2 linked regions of the Oryctolagus cuniculus genome follow. The protein of the gene in region 1 purifies or fractionates together with the protein of each later gene. This does not show direct contact. Links are inferred from orthologs where the notes say so. Each region holds a gene or a part of one and is shown on either strand. Other genes may lie near its edges. The genes, in order: CASP10 and FASLG.

Region 1 (4,244 bases):
TTCCTTTCTTCTGCCTACATTTGTTTTTAAAATTTTTTTTATTTACTTGTTCATTTGAAAGAGAGAGAGACAGAGACAGAGAGAGAGAGATTCTCCACCTGCTGGTTTACTCTAAATGGCCACAACAGCCAGGAACCACCTCTTGGTCTCCCACTCAGGTGCAGGGTCCTAAGCACTTGGGCCATCTTCTACAGCCTTCCCAGGCCGTTAGCAGGAAGCAGAGTCAGAAGCAGAATAGTCAGGAGTTGAACTGGCGCTGGATGTGGGATATCAGTGTCTCATGCAGGGCCTTAACCCCCATGGGCCACACGCCGGCCCCAGGACTTGTCTTTCTCAGACATAGTAGTTTTCTGGATGGTGGATATGGAAATGATGCTTTCACATATTTACTAATTAATGCATCATTTCCCAGGCTTCTTTCTAGAGATAAAACACCTTTTTACAGATTCTGTACATCTTCCCAAAACTCTGCATTTTTTTAAGATTTTTTTTTTTAATTGGAAGGTAGAGTTACAGAGGCGGATCTTCCATCTACTGGTTCATTGCCCATTTGGCTGTAATGGCAGGAATGGGGCTGACCTGAAGCCAGGAACCAGAAGCTTCTTCTGGGTTTCCCACGTGGGTGCCGGGAGCTGGATCAGAAGTGGTGCCACCTGCAGCATCCACATCCCACTTGGGAACCAGTTTGAGTCCCAGCTGCTCCACTTCCGACCCGGCTCCCTGCTAATGCACTTGAGAAAGCAGTAGAAGATGGCCCAGGTGCTCGGGCTCCTGTCACTCATGTGGGAGACCGGGCTGAAGCTACTGGCTACTGGCTACTGGCTCAGCTCTGGCCGCTGCAGTCTCTTGGGGGAGTGACCCAGCCAATGGACTATCTCTCTCTTTCTAGCTCTGCCTTTCAAATAAATAAACAAATCTTAAAAAAAGAAATAATATCTTTCAAACCTCTCTCTCCACTGGACTGAGTGTGTTGGCAGAGCAGACACCTGCCAGACTTGTTTGCCTTGCAGATATCTCCAAGTGGACTTAGAGTCTGCCATTCTCACTCCCAGAAATTTTATTTCTTGATTTGCACATAGACTTCAGAGAGGATTAAGATGACTGAAGAGTATCTCATGAGCCTTTTGGTTTGATTTACGGGTTACATGAGTTTGGAGGAAAGGGTTAAAAATAGTGACACGTTCCCTTCTTTGGGCACAGCGGCGCCCAGCGGTGGCAGCACTTAGTGGCCTCTTGAGAAACATCCCGAGCTTTACAATGGGAAAGGCAGGTGACTGCCTTTAGGGGAGCGCTGTTTGCCAGGGTTATTTTAACCCGGGGGGCGGGGAGAAAGCAGAGAGGCAGTGATGACATCAGCAGGAAATTCATACCAAGTTACCCAGTGCAAATGATTCAGTCTTCAGTGGCACAGCCGGGATCTCTTCCCCCGCCGATGGGGCGTCTGGTGACCACGGAGCACACCGAGAATTCTGACTTCTTGCCGGCTTCGTTTTCAGGCTGTTTCCCTGCGCACCACTGACCTTCAGAGGATTAGTGGAACTTGAACGGAAGCAGGTATGTAAACCTCCACCCCACCGCACTGGGGGCTCCCACTCTGAACTTCCCTTTGCCTCCTGTCCTTAGCAACTCGCCCAAACTCTTGACCGCAATGGCACGATCTGGGCGCCGGGTCCTCGGACATGCAGGGAAAATGAAAGTTCATTGAAATCAACTAAAACACCAGGAAGTTTCTAATCCAGCCCTTTACCTGAAGGGATATGTTGATCCACAGGCAGGGACAAAATCTCGTAGATTCACTAAAGTTGGAGATCAGGAACTTTAAGCAACTGCAAAGCAACCGGGTAAGACCGAGAGAGGAAGGCAGCTATCAGAAACCAATCATCTCACCTCAGGGCTGTTAGAAGAGAGGACTCCCAGGATGATCACACTGGAAGAGACTCTGTGTGTGTGTGTGTGTTTGCTTTATTTAACAACAGAAGTAATATATGTGCATTGCCTGAAGTTTGAGAAAGTCAGGTGGGAGCCTAGAAAGTTTCTGTTATCTCTGGGTCCCTCCATATAACCGCCTTTTGTGGCTGAGGTTTTGGGTTTTGCTTTGCTCTCCTTCCCTTAGCAAGTATTTTTTTTCTGTTTCTGAAAGCAGTCAAGTCCGGCATGGTGAATAGATGCCCCCATCCTTTCAGAATGACTACTGTGGTGGAAACTTAATCAATGCGTTGCTCCTCTGCTTAGAATGAAGTTTAGTACAGAGAACTCCAGAGTTGACAAACTGGCCAGGTAGACACCTTGCTTAGGTAATGTGTAACTTTCTACACTGATTCGAGCAGGTCTGGTCTAAAATCAGCTTTTCCTTTTGGGGTTTAGGGTTACAGCTTCCTCTTCTATGAGACAGGCCTGTCCTGTTACAGTTAGCAGTCGGGAGTTAGGTTGTAACAAATACTGTCATGCACTCGCTTTATGTCTAACGCTTAAAGCACAGATCCTTTGGGCTGTGTCTGCCATTTTGTGGAAATGAATTTTGAAGTGAAGAGCTCCAACGAGGCTGGAGGCCTGAGAGATGCCCTTGGCCATGTCTCACTGGGGACACTTTGATTTAAAAGAAATCAGGGCCGGCACTGCGGCTCACTAGGCTAATCCTCCACCTTGCGGTGCTGGCACACCAGGTTCTAGTCCCGGTCGGGGCACCGGATTCTGTCCCGGTTGCCCCTCTTCCAGGCCAGCTCTCTGCTGTGGCCAGGGAGTGCAGTGGAGGATGGCCCAAGTGCTTGGGCCCTGCACCCCATGGGAGACCAGGAGAAGCACCTGGCTCCTGCCTTCGGACCAGCGCGGTGCGCTGGCCTCAGCGCGCTGGCCGCAGCGGCCATTGGAGGGTGAACCAATGGCAAAGGAAGACCTTTCTCTCTGTCTCTCTCTCTCTCACTGTCCACTCTGCCTGTCAAAAAATTAAAAAAAAAAAATCAGGGTATGGGGGCTGGTGTTGGTGGTGTAGCAGCTAAAGCCACCGCCTGCAATGCGGGCCTCCCATACGGGTGTTGGTTCATGTCCCAGTTGCTCCACTTTAAATCCAGCTCCCTGGGAATGGCCTGGGAAAACAGTGGAAGATGGCCCAAGTGCTTGGGCTCCTGTACCCACATGGGAGACCCAGATGAAGCTCCTGGGTCCTGGCTTTGGCCTAGCCCAGTCCTGGCTATTATGGCCATCTAGGGGAGTGAACCAGTGAATAGAAGATTCATTCTCTCTCTCTCTCTCTCTCTCTCTCTCTCTCTCTCTCTCTCTCAATTCTGGCCTTGAAATAAATAAATAAAACTGAAAAAGAAGAAATCAGAGTATATTGAGTTCTAAATAACAACTCCCTGTAAGCCTTCTAGGGGAACTTGCAAGTGCCAGGGGCCAGTTTTCTGGGATGCTGGTTCTTGAAGCAGCCTCACAGTGAGTTTTCCTTCTCAGCACTTCTGGGAAAGCCTAATGCCTGGAACAGAAGCGGCCAGGATTGAGGGAGGGGCCAGGAAGTCAGGGTGCCCTGTGTCCTCACTCCTGAACCTCCTGCTCCGTCTCTGTCTCTTTCAGGCCAGCCATGGCATCTGGAGATCAAAGCTTGGGTTCCAGTTCAGATGAGGAAAACTTTCGTAGGATACTTTTTACGATCGATTCGCACCTGGGGGGCCAGGAAGTGGAGAGCCTGAAGTTTCTTTGCCTGGACTTGGTCTCCAAAAAGAAGCTGGAGAAGTGTAGCTCCGCCTTGGATATTTTTGAACTCCTCTTGACGTACAAGCTGCTGCAAGAAGAGGACCCTTTCGTCCTGGCAGAACTCCTCTACATCACCAAGCAGATCAAACTGCTGCAGCACCTCAGGTACACCAAAGAGGAAGTGGAGCGTTTGCTGCCCGAGAGAAGGAAGGTGCCCCTGTTCAGGTGAGCTGGGACTAAGACCGCCTGGGAGGAGGGGTTTCTGTCTCATGTTCGGTCTAGCCATTGGGCTTTGTTTCGGCTGTGAAAGGTCTGTTTATTTATTTATTTGAAAGTCAGATATTTGAAAGTCAGAGGGAGGGAGGGTAGGAGGGGGAGAGAGAGAGAGAGAGAGAGAGAGAGAGAGAGATCTTCTATCCACTGGTTTACTCCCCAAATGCCCGCTAAGATCTAGGGCTGGACCACGCTGAAGCCAGGAGCCAGGAACTTCATCTGGGTCTCTGATATGAGGTGGGAGGGTAGGAGGGACCCAAGTGCATGGGTCATCCGTTGCCTCC
Region 2 (4,534 bases), on another chromosome or scaffold:
GGAGACAGGGTACAAACTCGCAGCCAGACCAAATTTATTCAGAGAAAATAAACTCACAGAGGTTGACAAACTGCCATCAAGCTCACAGATGGAACACGTGGCAGAAGCCCAGACCCTAGCAGGCTGGGCCTGTTTATAACTTAGGTGGGCTGGGGTGGGGCTGGGGGCAGTAGGCCGAGGTGAGTTTCTCCCTATTGGTTCTTCAGGTTTGGCCCACTGGCTTCCAAACCTGGGGAAGAATGCGGGGGGGGGGGGGGGGGGGGGGGACAATACAGGGAAGGAGACTGAACTCCTCTCTTGAAAGAAGACAGGGTAACAAGAACCTAAAGTGGCTGAGGCTCCTGTCCTTGTTGCATCAGTTCCTGTCACCATATGGTAGACTTGGATTGAGTTCCCAACTCCTGACTTCAGCCATGCCCAGTCCCAGCTATTGTAGGCACTTGGGAGTGAATCTGGAAGATGAAAACTTCCTCTTTCTCTCTCTCTCTCTCCCTCCTTCCCCACTCTCTGATGCAATACAATTTTGAAATTCATTAATAGAGTTTTCATTGTACACATTTTCCATGAACTTCTTGAAAACCCCTTGTACATTTGGTATTGACGTGGTCCACGTGAGAGAGCCAGAACGACAGTCACAGAAATCTCACAGTGTGATGTAGAAACTAATGAAACTGAAAAGTAGACATCTTCAAAAGAACAGAAATTGAAGATTTGTGGAAATTTTATACAGTTTTTATGGGAGAATGATTAAGAGTGAGGCTGAGTACTTGGAAGTTATTGGCATATTAATGGTATTTGAGACCAAAAGAAAGGGTGAGGTCATAGCCCAGGCACAGTTGCCATCTTTAGCAAAAAACAAAGTTAAAAAAAGGACACCCTTTAAAATTTGAATTTCAGATAAACAATGAATAACATTTTAGTACAACTCTTGCATTGTTTAGGACATACATACCCTGAAGCTTATTTGTTGATCTGAAATTCAAGCAATTCTAGTAAACATAACAGCAGCTATGAACAGGGCTGCCTACAGGGGCCAGAAAGCCATTTCACAGGTGAGGTGGTGTGGGAAACACAGTACAGGGTGGAGGGACCTTGGGGGTGGAGGTTGGGCTACCTGGTCACCTGTGTCTCATTCCTGGGGACACTTGCTCCTCACCTCCAGCTGACTGAATTTGTGGAGATGGCCTTAAAAATATTTACAACAGAATGAAAATAGGTATTTTAATGTGGACTGTCTTGATTTTACAAATGAGAAACAAATCATCAAGAAGTAAAAACAGAGCTAGGCTGTGAGATCCACAAAGCATATCTGATCTAATCTCTAGAGTGGGCGGGGCAGGGTCTAATCTGTAAATTATGGTGATTTGCAGGGTTCGGGTAAACAGTGCTTGGTGTGGGGAAGGGATGCGGGAGGGGGATGATTTCCTCTTGCAAGTGACTCCAGTCTCCCCGCTCAGCGCCACTCTCCCTGCGCCAGCACTGCGCCCAGTGCTGCCCTGCTCTGCAGGCCCGAGGAAGGCGGTCACGGCTCCCTGCCTTTTCAGGTAGCGCAGCCACGGCAGCTGTGGCTCCGGGGGCTTTCATCAGAAAGTTGTGGGCGGAAACTTCCAGGGGTTGGCTCTGAGCTTCTTGAGGCTTCTCAGCTGCAGATATAAGGTGAGTGGGTGTCTCTCTGAGAACTAGCAAGAGAAGATGAGAGAGAGAGAGAGATTGATTGGTGTTTCCCTTGGTGTGGAAACTCTATAAAGCGAGAGCTGGCTGTTCCTCTCTTAACAGTGAGCAGCAGGAGTTCCTTCTTCGACATTGCAGCCTCCACAGGACTGAGAAGTAAAATCCTTGGGAGTCCCTGGCTGCCATGCAGCAGCCCTTCAGTTATCCATATCCCCAAATCTACTGGGTGGACAGCACTGCCAGCTCTCCCTGGGCCCCTCCAGGGTCAGTTCTCCCCTGTCCATCCTCTGTACCTGAAAGGCCTGGTCAAAGAAGGCCACCACCACCACTGCCACCGCCGCCGCCACCGCTACCACCACCACCACTGCCCCCGCTGCCCCCACTGCCCCCGCTGCCCCCACCACCCCTGAAGAAGAGGAAGGACCACAGCACAGGCCTCTGCCTCCTTCTGATGTTTTTCATGGTCCTGGTGGCCCTGGTTGGATTGGGGCTGGGGATGTTCCAGCTCTACCACCTGCAGAAGGAGTTGGCCGAGCTCAGAGAGGTAAGCTGTGTCCAGCAATCACTGGGGTGGGAGGAGGGCTCTGCTGCTGTGGGATGGAGCCTCCTGGGGTCTACCCGGACCACTGTCTTGCTTGCAAAGTGCTTTTCAAGCTTTACTGTTTGTCTTGGAAAGGGATTGTTCTTGTCGTTCTATTCTATAGGTAGAGAAATGGAGGGTCCTATGAATGAAGAGGTATTTTCTGTCTTGTAAAGAATTTGAGCCATATGGTTTTGCCTTTTTCAGTTGTCATGTCAGTCTGTGAAGCCACTGACCTCAGATCTAGTGATTCAAGAAATAAAAAAAAAACTTTGAGTCTGCTTAGAAGTGAATGTATTCAAATGACCAGACTGAATTTCCTTGAAAACATTTTAAAAAATCTGGTACCATTTCAAATGACAAAACTGAGGGACAATGAGACAAACTTGTTTGGCTAAAGTCTGAGTTAGGAAAGGTTCTGAGGAGTTTGGAATCTCTTTCGGGGGCTGGCTTATTTGGCAATTCCTCCACTGATTAAAGAGCTTCCTATTTATCATACATCTTTTCTCTTTCTTCCGGTAGTCCTTCAGTCAAAGGCACACAGCATCATCATCTATGGAGAAGCAAACAGGTGAGTCCTTTTATTCATGTGATTTGAATTTCCAAAGATAATCCTTAGCACTGAACATTGTTGGGGGGATACCTTGAATCCTATCCCATTCCTGGGCTTGTGAATATTATGAGAAGAGTCTTGGACAATTCTGAACCCCTGGTCAGTGTGGTTTCTTGAGCATCTTTTAAAATATGAAGTGAATTTCACTGCTCAAAATCAGTGTAGCTGAGTGTTTCACACAATGCAAAATACTTTTGACTTGACTTTGGGATGAGACACACATACATAATCCTGGAGCCCTGCCATTTGGGCAGCTGGTTGCAGGCCCATCTCCTTCCTCAGGAGTCCTAGTTAGGTATGGGCAAAGAGAGAAACTTCTGGGAAATGTCCTCTCCTCTTCTCAACTCCAGAAAAGAGATCACTCAAGAGTCAAGCTTCATTTAAGACATTGTACAAGATTTAGCTAAGCTTTTGATAAGTGGACAATTTCCCACATAGCATGGTTCCTTTGAAGTCATGGGGAGGCCTGGGAGAAGATTTAACCCATATTCAAAGGATTATTCCACTTTACCTATGAGATGTTTTTGACAATAAAGGAAAGTCCTTTGTATGAAATCCAGTACAAGAAAAAGGTAAAAGTGTTGAATTCTGGCTTCATTAAATTTCAGAGCATAGATTTAGACACTGTGGACAAGTATATTTTAGGATTTGCTCCATTTGTATTAAACCAAGATTAATTGACTTTTTAAACTTGGTTAGAACTGAGAGGGATCTTAAAGATCATCAGTTCCACCCATTTCATTTCTCAGAAGAGAAACAAAACATCAGACAGATTGGGTGATGTGCCCATGACTACTGGGTGGCGCTGGGGCTAGAAGGGATGTAGGCTCCTGCTGCCTTGGCACTTCCAGGACTTTCTAGCATGTGGACTGGTGCCTCATGGAAAGACAGAAACTCTTGCTTGACTGTAATTGCCAGGGGATGAGAAAGAAATGGAAAGCAGGACACTTCTGCAAAATCAGTAGGTAATTTTTTTCCTTAGAAATGTGGAAGAAGAGAGCAGGCAGGGCTAGCCATCCATTAAGTGCTGCCAGTTTCAATCTCAGGATAGCCTACTGCAGGTGGCCCAGGTCAGCGACTTCCCTGGAGCATAAACTCATGTAGGAGCCATCACTGAGATGCTCTGGCCCCTTGTTCTGATGTGGTAGAAACTCAGGAGGGGCACAGAGTGGAAACACTTTTTAGAAAAACGCAGCCTCTGGAGGACTTCTAATGTCACTTTGAAAATCAGGGGACTGTGGCTAGGGAAACAGGTACCTCATTACTCATCTCTCACCCACTCTCTGGAGGCGTTTTATTGGTTAAAAGTTAAATGAACAGATGAGTCAGGTCTACCTACCCCACTAAACTCTTATCTTCTCTGCATCAACCCAGACAGATCAGAAATTAGGGAATTATCAAATTAGCAACTACTAATTATCAAGTTTACAACTTTACTAATAAGAGATGCCAGTTATAAAAAAGATACTTATTTTCATGCATCCATTTAATAAACATTAAAAAGAGTAAAAATCCAGACTACCAAAGCTGTGATAGGAAAGTGTCCCTTTAAGCATTAGTTTGAGCTAGTGTGAATACAAATTGACCTAACTTTTCTGAAGAATAGTTTGGAAATATGTATCAAAAGCTTGAGATTGTTCGTTTAGCCTGTAATCCCATCATTAAGATTT

Evidence for each region.
Region 2: the proteins of CASP10 (region 1) and FASLG purify together in Homo sapiens (co-immunoprecipitation; 3 studies listed by BioGRID and IntAct, with this or other methods). This does not show direct contact. The link is inferred for Oryctolagus cuniculus from reciprocal best matches to the Homo sapiens genes CASP10 and FASLG.

What each region holds. Positions count from the first base shown.
Region 1 is NC_091434.1:38,828,645-38,832,888, reverse strand, and holds the start of CASP10 (caspase-10), read left to right. Parts: upstream 1-1,247; 5' UTR 1,248-1,554; intron 1,555-3,567; 5' UTR 3,568-3,574; coding exon 3,575-3,912; intron 3,913-4,244. UniProt on the Homo sapiens protein: Involved in the activation cascade of caspases responsible for apoptosis execution. Recruited to both Fas- and TNFR-1 receptors in a FADD dependent manner. May participate in the granzyme B apoptotic pathways.
Region 2 is NC_091438.1:1,340,258-1,344,791, forward strand, and holds the start of FASLG (tumor necrosis factor ligand superfamily member 6), read left to right. Parts: upstream 1-1,448; 5' UTR 1,449-1,855; coding exon 1,856-2,215; intron 2,216-2,773; coding exon 2,774-2,822; intron 2,823-4,534. UniProt on the Homo sapiens protein: Cytokine that binds to TNFRSF6/FAS, a receptor that transduces the apoptotic signal into cells. Involved in cytotoxic T-cell-mediated apoptosis, natural killer cell-mediated apoptosis and in T-cell development.